2 linked regions of the Lonchura striata genome follow. The protein of the gene in region 2 purifies or fractionates together with the protein of the main gene of each other region. This does not show direct contact. Links are inferred from orthologs where the notes say so. Each region holds a gene or a part of one and is shown on either strand. Other genes may lie near its edges.

The links. Proteins that work in one complex are often made in the same cells at the same time.
Region 1: the proteins of PRMT1 (region 2) and CHTOP purify together in Homo sapiens (affinity purification with western blotting; 7 studies listed by BioGRID and IntAct, with this or other methods). This does not show direct contact. The link is inferred for Lonchura striata from reciprocal best matches to the Homo sapiens genes PRMT1 and CHTOP.

The regions. Positions count from the first base shown.
Region 1 is NC_134635.1:3,147,161-3,154,348, forward strand, and holds the start of CHTOP (chromatin target of PRMT1 protein), read right to left. Parts: upstream 3,021-7,188; 5' UTR 2,843-3,020; intron 1,575-2,842; 5' UTR 1,564-1,574; coding exon 1,499-1,563; intron 1-1,498. Other genes in the region: S100A1 (protein S100-A1), read right to left, coding at 4,220-4,363, 4,463-4,603. UniProt on the Homo sapiens protein: Plays an important role in the ligand-dependent activation of estrogen receptor target genes. May play a role in the silencing of fetal globin genes.
Region 2 is NC_134640.1:2,740,171-2,747,653, forward strand, and holds the start of PRMT1 (protein arginine N-methyltransferase 1), read right to left. Parts: upstream 3,020-7,483; 5' UTR 2,999-3,019; coding exon 2,969-2,998; intron 1,491-2,968; coding exon 1,437-1,490; intron 1-1,436. Other genes in the region: DNA polymerase delta catalytic subunit, read right to left, coding at 3,569-3,665, 5,032-5,129, 5,957-6,009, 6,889-7,002. UniProt on the Homo sapiens protein: Arginine methyltransferase that methylates (mono and asymmetric dimethylation) the guanidino nitrogens of arginyl residues present in proteins such as ESR1, histone H2, H3 and H4, FMR1, ILF3, HNRNPA1, HNRNPD, NFATC2IP, SUPT5H, TAF15, EWS, HABP4, SERBP1, RBM15, FOXO1, CHTOP, MAP3K5/ASK1, MICU1 and NPRL2.

The DNA.
Region 1 (7,188 bases), on a different chromosome or scaffold from region 2:
GGAGTTTTTGTGGTGTTTTTTTTCTCCATGGACGCAGCGAGGCGGAAAATAAAACTCCTCAGCAGCACCCCAGCAGCTTCCTGGGAGCTGGCGAACAAAACCCATCCTAAAAACGAGGAGTTTGGTCTGACGGGGGGGAAGGGGCAGCAAGGTGTCCCTGAGCTGCCTGCAGGGAGCAAAAGCTGCCCCATTCCAGGGTGTTTAACCCCAAAATGCTCACTGGGACAGTGGCTGCTCCATTCCAGGGTGTTTAACCCCAAAATGCTCACTGGGACAGTGGTTACACCATGGCAGCGTGTTTAACCCCAAAATGCTCAGTGGGAGAGTGGCTGCCCCATTTCAGGGTGTTTAACCCCAAAATACTCACTGGGACAGTGGTTACCCCATGGCAGCGTGTTTAACCCCAAAATACTCACTGGGACAGTGGTTACCCCATGGCAGCGTGTTTAACCCCAAAATGCTCAGTGGGAGAGTGGCTGCCCCATTCCAGGGTGTTTAACCCCAAAATGCTCAGTAGGACAGTGGCTGCCCCATTTCAGGGTGTTTAACCCCAAAATGCTCAGTGGGAGAGTGGCTGCCCCATTTCAGGGTGTTTAACCCCAAAATACTCACTGGGACAGTGGTTACCCCATGGCAGCGTGTGTAACCCAAAAATGCTCAGTGGGAGAGTGGCTGCCCCATTTCAGGGTGTTTAACCCCAAAATGCTCAGTAGGACAGTGGCTGCTCCATTCCAGGGTGTTTAACCCCAGAATGCTCAGTGGGATGGTGGTTACCCCATGGCAGCGTGTTTAACCCCAAAATGCTCAGTGGGACAGTGGCTGCTCCATTCCAGGGTGTTTAACCCCAAAATGCTCAGTGGGACAGTAGCTGCTCCATTCCAGTGTTTAACCCCAAAATGCTCAGTGGCAGAGCAGCTGCCCCAGGCCAGCGTGTTTAACCCCAAAATGCTCAGCAGGACACCCGTTAGTCGTCACAGAGGAGCCACACGTGGAGAAACCCAGCGGAATGACCCACGGGAAGAGCTCGAGGACAGAGAGAGATGGAGGTGAAGCGAAGCTGGTGCCTCTTACAAGGCCCAGAAGAGCCTTTGGGCCGGTTCCGGGGCCGCCGCCGGCCTCTTACAGGGCCCACCCGGGCGGGTGGGAGCCTCGGGCGCGGCAGCAGAGCCAAAATACCAATGTCAAAACATGTGGGAGAGACAGGGAGGGTGTGAGGCTGGTCTCTGCTCTTACAACAACACATCCCACCGGATTTACGAGGCGAATCAACACTAAACACGGAGCAATCCCTCCGGGATTTTTGGCCCTTTTAACCTTGCGTGCCGCAGGGGTCGGAGGGTAAGGCGGGGGTGGAGGCACCCGCTCGCTCGACGAGGTTAAAAGAGGGCGGAAACCACGGTGGGTTTTTGGATTTTTGGATAGTGAGAATTAAGTAAAAAAAAAAAAAAAAAATTATATATGATTTCTTAGGAGCTGAAGGTGCCGTTGGCTTCCTCACCGCTCGTTCAGAGACATCTTGGTGGTGCTCTTTAGCACGACCTTCGGTGCTGACTGTGCAGCCATCTTCAGAGAATCTGCAAAACAGGGCCCAGAAGGGAAAATTTAGACATTTATTACACATTTATACTGCAAAATACTAAACATCCCTTCCGTTCTGCCTCTTTGGGTGAAGGAAATCAAGATTAGGGCAGGTTATGTGCAATATATTCATTTTTCCCCACTGATTTTTAGCCCTCTGCCAGAATTTTTCTGTTCTGATTCTGGGATTTTGAATGCTTTTTGGTCTTCTCCCGGTTTTAATAAATCAGGGAGTTCCTTTATTTCTCCCTTACCAAAAATATATCATTTTACAGTGAATGCTTCAGCAATATTAGGAAAAATAACACAAAAATCCAGGAGCAAGATGGCAACCAAATGCCACCTCCAGAGCAAAGATGCAAAACAGAATCCAAGACATCAAATTAAAACAATTATTACGTATTTACATGATTAAACATTAAAAAACTTCTGCTCTCTGTGGAGAGAACTAAGAGTGAGGCTAGTTATAGGTATTGTATTTATGCATTTTTAATGTTTTCTAGCCCTCTACCAGGTTTAATAAAAAAGGGAGTTATTTTAATTTACCTTTAGTAAAAATTTATATTTTTACAGTGAATACCTTATCGTTTTTCTGAGTAATAACATACAAATCCAGGTGTAAATAGCACCCAAACGCCTTTTGCACACTGACACCTCCACATTTCCCGTGTTCTTAGCATGACCAAGGTGCAAACCCCAATTTTAAGGGCACAGGGAATAAAAATCCAAGACGATGCTACAAAAGCATCGTACCCTTTAAAAACATGGAGGTTCCAATTCCCTCAGGGTAGGGATTTAAATCCCCCCCCAGTGCTGGATGCTACAGAAACACGCTGGGCTCCAACCCCCGAGCTCTGCAGATCGATTTATTAATTTATTTTATAATTAGCAGCAAATCGAATGAGTGGATGACGGCCGGGATGCGTTTATTCTATAGTACCCTGAAAAAAACGTTTTATTGAGAGGATTTACAACCAGAAACTGAGACAACAGAAAGCCTCATTGCTGCTTGAAACTAATTATAATAATTTTGTTTTAATATACAGCAGCTTCTTCAATTTGAAGTGGTTCTTAAAGCATTTTTCTTCCTGAGGATTAAAAAAAAATAAAAACAAACCGCTCCGCCTCCCGCAGGCCCGGCTCCGGAGGAAAAGCCCCGACCGTGAGGGGCTCTCCGGGCTATGAGGGGGCCCTGAGGGGACCCCCCGGCCCTCAGGAGCGGCCCCCGGCGCCCCGCCCCCGCGCAGCCGGGCCGGTCACTCACCGAAGCACACGGTCGCCAGGTCTCCGGTGGCTCGGCCAGCAGGCGGGCGGGCGGGCGGGCGGGTGAGTGAGTGCGGGGCCGGTGTGGGGCCGGCGCGGGCCGGGGCTGGCGCTGAGCTCCGCCCGCCGCCGCCGCTGCCGCTTCTCCCTCAGCCGCCCGCGACAAAATGGCGCCGGCGCCGCTCCCGCCCCCGCCGAAATGGCGGCCGCGCTCCCGGCCACGCCCACCGCCGCGCGAGCCCCCCCGGGCCGGGCGGTGATTGGTGGAGCGGCGGAGGGGGCGGGGAAAGGGGCGGGGCTGAGGGAGAGGCGGGAACGTTCTGGCGGGAGTAGGGGTGGAGTCCCCGTGACGTCATAGAGAGCGGTGTCGTCATGGTCACGTCATGGAAACGTCATGAAACCGTCATGGAACCGTCATGGAACCGTCATGGAACCGTGGGATGAGGGAGTCAGGGGGGTCAAGGAACCGTGGAGTCATGGAGCTGTGGAGTCACGGAGTCACGCGGTGCTGGGATCCCCACGTCCCACGGAATTGTGTCAGCTTTATCAGCTCCTCTGTCAGCTCCATGGAATCTTGGAATTATGGAATCACAAAATGCTCAGCTGTGGAATCATATAGGATCCAGGCGTTAGGGAGTTGCGGAGTTGGAAGGGGTCTGTAAGGACCGTGGAGTCCCCTGCCCATGACACTCCTGGTGTCCCACCATGTCCCTGGGAGCACTGCCCAGCTGCTCCTTGACCCCTGTCCCGTGCCCCTGTCCCGATGTCCATCCCACCCAGGCAGGGCCGATCCCAAGCCGGGATGGCGGGCAGATGATGGCGCTGGTGGCCCTGGTGGGGCCCTTGGCCACCGTCCCATCCCAGTGGGCTGGGAGATCCCAACCGGTTCCTCCAGCCCCGCGGGAGCAGTGCTGGCGCCTCCGGAGCCACCGGCAGCGAGTCCCGGCCTGTCACCCCCTTCCCAAATCCCGGGGCTCCCGTGTCCCACACCCTGACACCGGCCGGGATCCCCCGCCCTGGGGTCACCCTGCCCCGGGCGGTCGGGGCGGATCCCAGGGTGAATCCCAGGGTGGATCCCGGGTGGATCCCAGGGTGGATCCTGGGGTGGAGCCAGGGCTGTCTCCAGGCTTCTGGGGTGACCCAGGCTGGCTTTTCCCTGTGCGCCCAGAGTGGGATATTCCCAGGGGATGGGGCAGGAATCCCGAGCAGGAATGAAGGAAGGAGCTGACGCACACGGACACACCTCGGGCAGGGTTGTGCCTTTATTGTGCAGCTGGATCCCAGTGGGATCCCCTGGGAATGCTGAGGGGGTGAGCCGGAGGGTGGCGGGGGGGCTCTGGATTTTGGGAGCCCACGTCCTGCTGCGGCAGGAGGGGGGTCAGGCGTTCTCCCAGAAGAAGTTGTTGCAGGCCACGGTCAGAGCGGCCACCAGGACCACAAATTCCTGGAAATCCACCTCCCCGTCGCCGTTCTCATCCAGGTCCTGCATGATCTTCTCCACGGCCCCCGCGTCCTTCTGGGTCTGGGGGGGACACAGGGTGAGCCCTGGGGCTGGGCAGCCGCTGTTCCCCCGGGGAACGGGGAAAGGGAGACCCCCGCACCCCAAACTGGTCCCAGTTACCTCCAGGAAACATCCCAGCTCGCTCTGCAGCAGCTCCTTGAGCTCCTTCTTGCTCAGCTTGTACTTGTCCCCCTCCTTGCCCGAGTAGTGGTGGAACACATTGATCAGGGTCTCCATGGCCCCTTCCAGCTGCGATCCCATGGCTGTGGCTGCGGGACCCCCAGCACGTCACCCACCGGCCCCCCCGTCTCGGTGCCACCCCCACATGTCACCCACCCGCGGCCGCGGTCCCCCTGGGCAGGACTGGGGGGGTTCCCAGGGGCTGGGCGGGGAGGTTTGGGGGGGACGGGGACACCTGTGCTCACCTGAGCTCCCCGTGCTCCGAGTGCGCCCGCCCGGCCCGGCCGGGCCCGTTAAATAAGCTCCAAGCCCCCTCCCTCCGGGAGGATCCGATACCGGGGCTGGGCAGCCCGGCTGGCACCGCCGGCCAGCCCCGCGGGGCCGGGCGTGGGGGGCACAACCCCGGCCTGGCCCCGGGGACACGGCTGGGGAGACAGCCCCACTTCAGGGGGGCTCCCCGTGCCACCCCCGAGCGCCCCTCGCCGCCCCCGGGATGTGGAAAAACCGGGGATGTAGGGAGGGCCGGCACGGGCACGGGCACCGGCACGGGCACGGGCACCGGCACGGGCACCGGCACGGGCACCGGCATGGGCACGGGCACCGGCACGGGCACCGGCACCGGCACCGGCATGGGCACGGGCACGGGCACTGGCACCGGCACCGGCACCGGCACGGGCACCGGCACGGGCACCGGGGTCCCCCGCCGGGCTCAGTGCCCGGCGCCCCCGCCGGTGGCCGCGGTGGCCACGCCGTGACCCCGCGGGGGCACCGCCGGCATCCCCCGTCCGTCAGCGCCGCGGGGCCGGGGCCGCGGCCAGCCCCGCTCCCGGGGCCGATGAAGGGATCCGGTGTCCTCGGAGCGGCCGCGGGGCCGGCGGGGCCCGGGGGGAGCGGCGGGGGCTATCGGGTGACTCCGCGGGGGCCCCCCGCGCTCAAAGGACTCTTGTCCGGCTGAAAAGGCCCCACAATCCCGAGCCCGGCGTTGCTGCAGCAACGCCTCGGCCAGGAAACCGGACTCCGAGCCGGCCCGGGTGATGCTGATAATCCGCGGATCCCGTTACGGCCCCGGATCCGCGCGGGATGGAGCCCGCAGCCTGCCCGGCTCCGGCATCCCCGGGGAGATCAGCTCCCGAATTCCTCAGCCCCCGAATTCCTCAGCCCTCAAATTCCTGATCCCCCAAATTCCTGATCCCTCAAATGCTTCAGCCCCCAAATTCCTCAGCCCCCAAATGCTTCAGTCCCCAAATTCCTGATCCCCCGAATTCCTGATCCCCCAGATTCCTGATCACCCCAATTCCTCAACCCCAAGTGCTTCAGCCCCCAGATCCCTCAGCCTCCCTCAGGATTGGGACCCCCTCAAACAGGAGCTGCATTTTCAGCAGGGCCGGGTGGTGCCGGGCTCCTCATGCCGGGTTCCAGCCCTAATTTGGGGCTAATTACATCCTGTTGCCTCTGCTTCCACCTCCCTCACTTCCCGTCCCTGCGGCTGAGGATGGGCCCTGCCTGGGCACCCCAAAACTGCCTGGGCACCCTCCCCAGCGCCCAGGGAATGGGGAAACTGGGGGGTCCCCAAGCAGAGGAGGGGTCCCAGCTGGAATTGCGAGTTCCAGAGAGGAGCAGGGATCCCAAAGGGCGGCTCAGGAGCTGCCTCCCAGCAGGACCCGGCTCCATCCCTGGGGCTCCGGGAGGGGCCGGATCCCCAAATCCCGAGGCTGGGCATGGGGGCACTGGGAGGGGCCCGTGGCACTCACTCGCCGTGTCCCGGTCCCCGAGCGGCGGGCAGGATTCCGGGAACGCCCGGGAGAGTCACCGGGCCAGCAGCTGCTCGTGACAGGGACGGGCATTGCCCAAAAATAACCCCGACCCCGGTCCCTGCCAGGGGACAGAGGGGACAGGGCCAGGACTGCGGGCAGCGGCACGGCCGCAGTGTCCGAGGGACAGCGGGACCCCCAAACCCTTCGGGACAGCAGCCCCAGGGCGAACCCCAGCACTGGGGGGGTCCCGAGGGGTCCCGGGGGGTCCCGGACCCTGCGGCCGGGGCAGAGCGCGCCCAGCACGGCTGGCAGATTCCCAGGACGAGCTCTGGGAAGCGGGAGCAGTGAGGGACATGCCAGGAGCTTTACACACAGCTTGGAACAGGTTTCAGCCACTGCGACTCCCCTGCTCCACTTTGACCCAGCTAAACCAGTCGCTCCAGTTCCCGGTGCTGGGCTGGGCCCATCTTGTCTCCCCATCCCATCGCCGGGGCTCTGGAAGAGGCTTTGGAGAGGGAGGAGCTGCGGTGGCCGCGCTGGGGACCCCGCGGTGGCTCCGGGCTCCTGCCGCGGCCCCTGGGTCCCTGCAGCGAGCCCCGATGGGGCCAGCAGGGGCCACTGCCGGGCTGGGCACCGCGCTGGACACGGTCACCATCCCTGGTGGGGCCACACCGGCTGTGGAGAACCCCAGGACCAGGATGTGGAAGTGGACACTGAGCCCCTGCACATGGTCACCCTGTCACACGGGGTCCTGTGGTCCTATATGGCCCGAGTCCCGAATGATCCCATTCCTATTCCTGTATAGCCCAAGTCCCTGTACGATCCCATTCCTGTCCCTATATGGCCCAAGTCCTTATATGGTTCTGTCCCTGACCCTGTATGGCTCGAGTTCCTATATGATCCTGTCCTTAT
Region 2 (7,483 bases):
TTTTTGGGGCTGCATTTGGGTTTTCTTTTCCCCAGAATTTCACTTTATCCCCCAGAATTTTGGTTTTTCCCCGGATTTTGGGGCAGAATTTGGGTTTTTCCCAGATTTTGGGCTGTTTTGGGGCAGAATTTGGATTTTTCCTGGATTTTGGGGTTTTTTGGGGCAGAATTTGGGTTTTCCCGGATTTTGGGGTTTTCTGGGGCAGAATTTGGGTTTTTCCCGGATTTTGGGGTGTTTTGGGGCAGAATTTGGCTTTTCCCCGGATTTCGGGTTTTTTTTGGGGCAGAATTTGGATTTTTCCCGGGTTTTGGGGCAGAATTTGGGTTTTTCCCGTATTTTGGGGTTTTCTGGGGCAGAATTTGGGTTTTTCCCAGATTTTGGGGCAGAATTTGGGTTTTTCCCGGATTTTGGGGTTTTTGGGGGCAGAATTTGGGTTTTTCCTGGATTTTGAGGCAGAATTTGGGTTTTTCCCGGGTTTTGGGGCAGAATTTGGGTTTTTCCCGGATTTTGGGGGTTTTTGGGGCAGAATTTGGGTTTTTCCCGGATTTTGGGGGTTTTTGGGGCAGAATTTGGGTTTTTTCTGGGTTTTGGGGCAGAATTTGGGTTTTTCCCGGATTTTGGGGTTTTTTGGGGGCAGAATTTGGGTTTTCCCCGGATTTCGGGTTTTTTTTGGGGCAGAATTTGGATTTTTCCCGGATTTTGGGGCAGAATTTGGGTTTTTCCTGGATTTCAGGTTTTTTTTGGGGCAGAATTTGGGTTTTTCCCGGATTTTGGGTGTTTTTTGGGGCAGAATTTGGGTTTTTCCCAGATTTTGGGGCAGAATTCGGGTTTTTCCCGGGTTTTGGGGCAGAATTTGGGTTCTTCCCGGATTTTGGGGGTGTTTTGGGGCAGAATTTGGATTTTTCCCGGATTTTGGGGTTTTTGGGGGCAGAATTTGGGTTTTTCCTGGATTTTGGGGGTTTTTGGGCTGGATTGGGGATTTTTCCCCCCAGAATTTCAGGATTTTTCCCGGATTTTGGGACTGGATGTTTATTTTTCCCAGATTTTGGGGTTTTTTTTGGGGCAGAATTTGGGTTTTTCCCGGATTTCGGGGTTTTTTTGGGGCAGAATTTGGGTTTTTCCCAGATTTTGGGGCAGAATTTGGGTTTTTCCCGGATTTTGGGGGTGTTTTGGGGCAGAATTTGGGTTTTTCCCGGGTTTTGGGGCAGAATTTGGATTTTTCCTGGATTTTGGGTGTTTTTTAGGGCAGAATTTGGGTTTTTCCCAGATTTTGGGGCAGAATTTGGGTTTTTCCCGGGTTTTGGGGCAGAATTTGGGTTCTTCCCGGATTTTGGGGTTTTTTTGGGGCAGAATTTGGGTTTTTCCCGGATTTTGGGGTTTTTTGGGGCAGAATTTGGGTTTTTCCCGGATTTTGGGGGTTTTTGGGGAATATTTACTTCCTCCCGAGGCGGCCGCAGGCTCATCCCGTTAGCCAGGGTGGCTACAAAATTCTGGGGAAAGAGGAACGAGAGACGTCACCGGGCACCCCAAAACCGGCCGGGCACCCCAAAATTGGGGTGGGCACCCCAAAATCGGCGTGGGGGGAGCCTAAAAATGGGGTGAATGACCCCAAAAATGGGTTGGGGGTCCCTAAAAAAGGGGTGGGAGGTCCCTAAATTGGGGTTGGAGAGCCTAAAATGGGGCTGGGGGACCCTAAAATGGGGTGGGGGGTCACAAGCCCAATTTTTGGGGGTCACGATCCCATTTTTGGGGGGCAGAGGGGATATAGGGGCTCAAGACCCCAAATTTTGGTGGTTTAGGGGGGTCAGGACCAAAATTTGGGGCGACTTTGAGGAAGGGGAGGACTGAAACCCCAAATTTTGGGGGTCAGAGGAGATTTGGGGGGGTTACAACCCAGATTTTGGGGGTCCCTGGAAACCTGGGGGGGTCCCAGACCCAAAATTTTGGGGTCCCTGGGAATTTTGGGGTCCCAGACCCAAAATTTTGGGGTCCCTGGGAATTTGCTCCTGTGTCCCCCCCCAGTCACGACAAAACACCCCCAACCTCATTAAACCCCCTCAAGTTAATTAAGCCCCCCAAAACCTCATTAAAATCCCCCAAACGTCACTAAAAACCCCAAAATCTCACTCAAAACCTCATTAAAATCCCCCAAAATTTCATAAAAACCCCAAAAATTTCATAAAAACCCCCAAATCCTCAGTAAAAACCCCAAAACCTTACTAAAAACCCCAAATCCTCACTAAAACCCCAAAATCTCATTAAAACCCCCAAAATCTCACTAAAACCCCCCAGAATTTCATTAAAAAAAACAAAATCTCACTAAAACCCCCAAAATCTCACTAAAATCCCCCAGAATTTCATAAAAAAACTCAAAATCTCACTAAAATCCCCGAAATCTCACTGAAACCCCCAAAATCTCACTAAAACCCCCAAAATTTCATAAAAACCCAAAATCTTACTAAAACCCCCAGAATCTCACTAAAACCCCCAAAATCTATCTAAAACCCCCAAAATCTCACTAATATCCCCAAAATCTCACTAAAACCCCCAAATTCTCACTAAAATCCCCCAGAATTTCATTTAAAACCCCGAGATTTCATTTAAACCCCCAAAATTTCATTAAAATCCTCCAAAATTCCATAAAAAACCCCAGGCCTCACTGAAATCCCTCAGAGCCCCTCAGAGACTCACAAATCCCCTCAAAACCCCTCAGAGCCCCAAAAATCCCCTCAGAGCCCCAAAAATCCCCTCAGAACCTCAAAAATCCCCTCAGAGCCCCTCAGAGCTCCCCCCATCCCCTCAGAGCAATTCAAACCCCCCCCAATCCCCTCAGAGCCCCTCAGAGCCGCCCCAATCCCCTCAGAGCCGCCCCCCGCCATCGCCGAGCCCCCCCAGCGCCCTCCCCGCCCGCCCGGGCCCGCTCTGCCCTCAGGCCCGGCGTTTCCCGCGCCGCCGCCGCCGCTCTCACCTCCATGGTGCAATTGGCCGCCTCCGCCATCTTGTGAGCGCCAGCGGCGGCCCTCAGCGCCGCGGCCTTTTATAGCGGGGGCGGGGCCGCCGCCGGCCCCCTCGCGCGCCTCCCCATTGGCCGCCGCTTCCCGCTCGCCGCGTGATGATTGGGCGGCGCCCACGCCCATCAGGCTTAGCCCACGCCCCGCAGCGCTGATTGGGCGGGGGGGTTGTCAGTCATGGGTGAAAGCGAGGCCACGCCCGCGGGTCGGCGCGGCGGGGCGGTTCTGCGCGCTGATTGGGCGGGGGAGGTGTCAATCAGCAAGCCACGCCTCCCGCGCAGCGCCGCCTAGCGGCCGCAGCGATCAATGCAAATTCCTCCTGAAAACACCAAAAAATCCCAAAAACCCAAAAAAATCCCCAAAAAACTCCAAAAAACCCCCCCCAAAATTATTAAAAAACCCATAAAACCTCAAAAAACCGATAGAGAACCACACGGAATCACTAGAAACTCGCTCTTTATTAAACTTCCCATACAAAAAGCCGGGGCTGGGGGGGTGAGTGGGCCCCGAAAATCCCAAATTTTGGGGTTTTGGGGCGGATTTGGGGGATTTTGGGGTCACCAGTCGGGCTCCCCGAAGCGCCGGAGCAGCTCCTGCTGCGCCTCCAGGTCCTTCTGCACCTTGCGGCGCATGTAGAAAATGGGGCAGTCCCGGCTGCGGGGATTTTGGGGGGATTTTAGGGGATTTTGGGGTTTTGGGGGGATTTTGGGGGGATTTTAGGGGATTTTGGGAGTTTTTTGGGGATTTTGGGGGTTTTTGGGGATTTTGGGGGGTTTCAGGATTGGGGGGATTCGGGGGATATTGTGACATTTGGGGATTTGGGAGCATTTGGGGATTTTGGGAGATTCAGGGGATATTGGGCGGATTTGGAGGATTTTGGGGGATTTGGGGATTTTTGGGGTTTTTTGGATATTTCAGGATTGGGGGAGTTTGGGGGATTTTGGGGGGTTTTGAGACATTTGGGGATTTGAGGGGATTTGGGGACATTTGGGGACACTTGGGGATTTGGGGAGATTTGGGGAGATTTGGGGATTTTGGGGGATTGGGCGGTTTTGGGACATTTGGGGATTTTGGGGATTTTTGGGACATTTGGGGATTTTGGGGATTTTTGGGACATTTGGGGATTTTGGGGTTTTTTGGGACATTTGGGAATTTTGGGGTTTTTTGGGACATTTCAGGACTGGGGGACATTTTGGTACCTTTGGGGATTTGGGTTTTTTGGGGGGAGTTTGGGGGATTTTGGGGGATTTGGGGATTTGGGGACATTTGGGGTTTTTGAGGGGATTTGGGGGATTTTGGGGGATTTGGGGACATTTGGGTTTTTTTGGGGGATTTGGGGGATTTTGGGGGGATTTGGGGACATTTGGGTTTTTTGGGGGGATTTGGGGGGATTTGGGGACTTTGGGACATTTCAGGACTGGGCGGGTTTGGGGGATTTTAGGAGGATTTGGGGATTTTGGGACATTTGGGGGTGACTGAGGGGACCTGAGTGAGGTGACACAGGTGACACAGGTGAGACACACAGAGGGTTCAGGTGACACAGGTGACACAGGTGTGACACACAGAGGGTTCAGGTGACACAGGTGACACACAGGTGTGACACAGGGATGGTGACACAGGTGACAGGTGTGACACACAGGTGACACAGGTGTGGCATGGGGATAATGACAGGTGACACACAGGTGTGACACAGGTGACACAGACAGGGCTCAGGTGACACAGGTGACACAGGTGACACACAGGTGACACAGGAGGTGACACACAGGTGACAGGAGGTGACACACAGGTGACACACAGGTGACACAGGTGACACAGGTGACCCAGGTGAGGTGACACAGGTGGTGACACAGGTGACAGGTGTGACACACAGGTGACACACAGGTGACACACAGGTGCCACACAGGTGACACAGGAGGTGACCCAGGTGGCACAGGTGTGACACAGGTGACACAGGTGACACACAGGTGACAGGTGTGACACACAGGTGCCCCAGGTGCCCCTCAGGTGTGCCCAGGTGTACCTGGAGCAGAGCACGTCCTGCAGCAGGGAGCCCTGGCACCGCTGGCACTGGCTCCAGAGCCGGGCGAAGCTGCGCTCCAGCTGCCACACCTGGCTCACCTGAGCAACACCCCAAAATATCCCCAAAATATCCAAAATATCCCCAAAACATCCCAAAATATTCCAAACACATCCAGCTGCCACACCTGGCTCACCTGAGCAACATCCCATAATAACCCCCAAAATATCCCAAAATATCCCCAAAATATCCCAAACACATCCAGCTGCCACACCTGGCTCACCTGAGAAACATCCCAAAATATCCAAAATATCCAAAATATCCCAAAATATCCCAAAATATCCAAAATATCCCAAAATATCCCAAAATATCCAAAATATCCAAAATATCCCCAAAATATCCTCAAAACATCCCAAAATATCCCCAAAATATCCAAAATCCCTCCAGCTGCCACACCTGGCTCACCTGAGAAACATCCCATAATAACCCCAAAATATCCCAAAATATCCCCAAAATATCCCCAAAACCCCTCCAGCTGCCACACCTGGCTCACCTGAGAAACATCCCATAATAACCCCAAAATATCCCCAACCCATCCACCCAAAATTTGGGTCCCCCAAAACCAAAACCCCAAATTCGGGAGCCCAAAATCCCAAATTCAAAACCGCAAAACCCCCAAAATCTCAAATTTAAAACCCCAAAACCCCCCAAACCCCAAATTCGGGACCAAAACCACAAAATCCCAACTTTAAACCCCCAAAATCCCAAATTTAAACCCCCAAAATCCCAAATTTAAACCCCCAAATCCCAAATTTAACCCCCAAAATCCCAATTTTAACCCCAAAATCCCAAATTTTAACCCCAAAATCCCAATTTTAACCCCAAAACCCCAAATTTAACCCCAAATTTCGGACCCAGCCCCCCCCACCTCTTTCTGGTAGAGCTCGGACTCCCTCTGGCGGCAGAAATCGCAAACTGCACCTGCGGATTTTGGGTCCATTTTGGGTGAATTTGGGGCTCCGGGACCCCAAATTTTTGGGCAGGATGGGTTAAATTATGGAGGTATTAATTAGTTATTAACGATTTAAATTATAATTTTTTGTTAATTTGGGGAAGGGACTTGACTTTGGGGATTTTGGGGCTCCAGCCCCCCCAGTTTTGGGGATGTTTGTGCTGAATTTTGGGAATTTTGGGGGTCCTGGACCCCCATTTTGGGGAAAAGGGATTAATTTCGGGGATGGGAAATTTCGGGTCGGGGTCGTTAATTAGGGTTGGGGTCGTTAATTAGGGGCGGGGTTGTTAATTAGGCTTGGTTAACTTGGCGAGGGGGCTTTAATTATGAGGATCCCCTTTTTTGAGGTGGAATTTCGGGGATTTTGGCCATTCTGGACCCGTTTATTTTGGTAAAACCAGGTTAATTCCAGCCGGAGGGGATTAATTAGAGTTAATTAGCGCAGGGCCCGTTAATTAGGGCAGGCATTCTGGTGATTAATTTGGGGAGGGGGCTTCAATTCCCAGAATCCCATTTTTCGAGGTCGAATTTTGGGGATTTTGGCCATTCTGGACCCGTTTTTTTTTGGTAAAACCAGGTTTATTCCAGCTGGAGGGGATTAATTAGAGTTAATTAGGGCAGGGCCCGTTAATTAGAGCAGGGCCCATTAATTAGGGCAGGCATTCTGGTAATTAATTTGAGGAGGGGGCTCCATTCCGAGTATCCCCTTTTTTCAGGTTCAGTTTTGGGGATTTTGACCGTTTCTGACCCGTTTTTTTTTGCAAAACCGGGTGAATTCCACCCCGAGGTGACTAATTAGGGGTTAATTAGTGCGGGGGCTAATTAACTGGTTAATGAGGGGGTCTCACCGTGGTGGGGCAGCAGGGCCCGGCAGCCGATGCAGCTGCTGCGCTTGGAGGTGAAGGCCGAGAGCGCCCCGGAGCGGGCGGTCAGGAGGGTCTTGCAGCGGGTGTGCTCCCCCTCTGCGGGGAAATTCGGGCTCAGGGACCCCCAAAATCCCCCAAAATCCCCCAAAATCCCCCCAAAAATCCCCCAAAATCCCCCCAAAAATCCCGGAGTCACAGGGAGCCCCAAAACCTCCCAAAATCCCCCCAAAAATCCATCCCAGAACACCCAAAATCCCCCCGGACCCGAGGGTCCTGCAGCGGGTGTGCTCCCCCTCTGCGGGGAAATTCGGGCTCAGGGACCCCCAAAATCCCCCAAAATCCCCCAAAATTCCCCCAAAACCCCCCCAAAAATCCCGGGGGCACAGAGAGCCCCAAAAACCCCCAAAATCCCCCCAAAAATCCATCCCAGGACACCCAAAATCCCCCCAGACCCGAGGGTCTTGCACTGCATGTGCTCCCCCTCTGCGGGGAAATTCGGGCTCAGGGACCCCCAAAATCCCCAAAAATCCCCCAAAATCCCCCCAAAACCCCCCCAAAAATCCCGGAGTCACAGGGA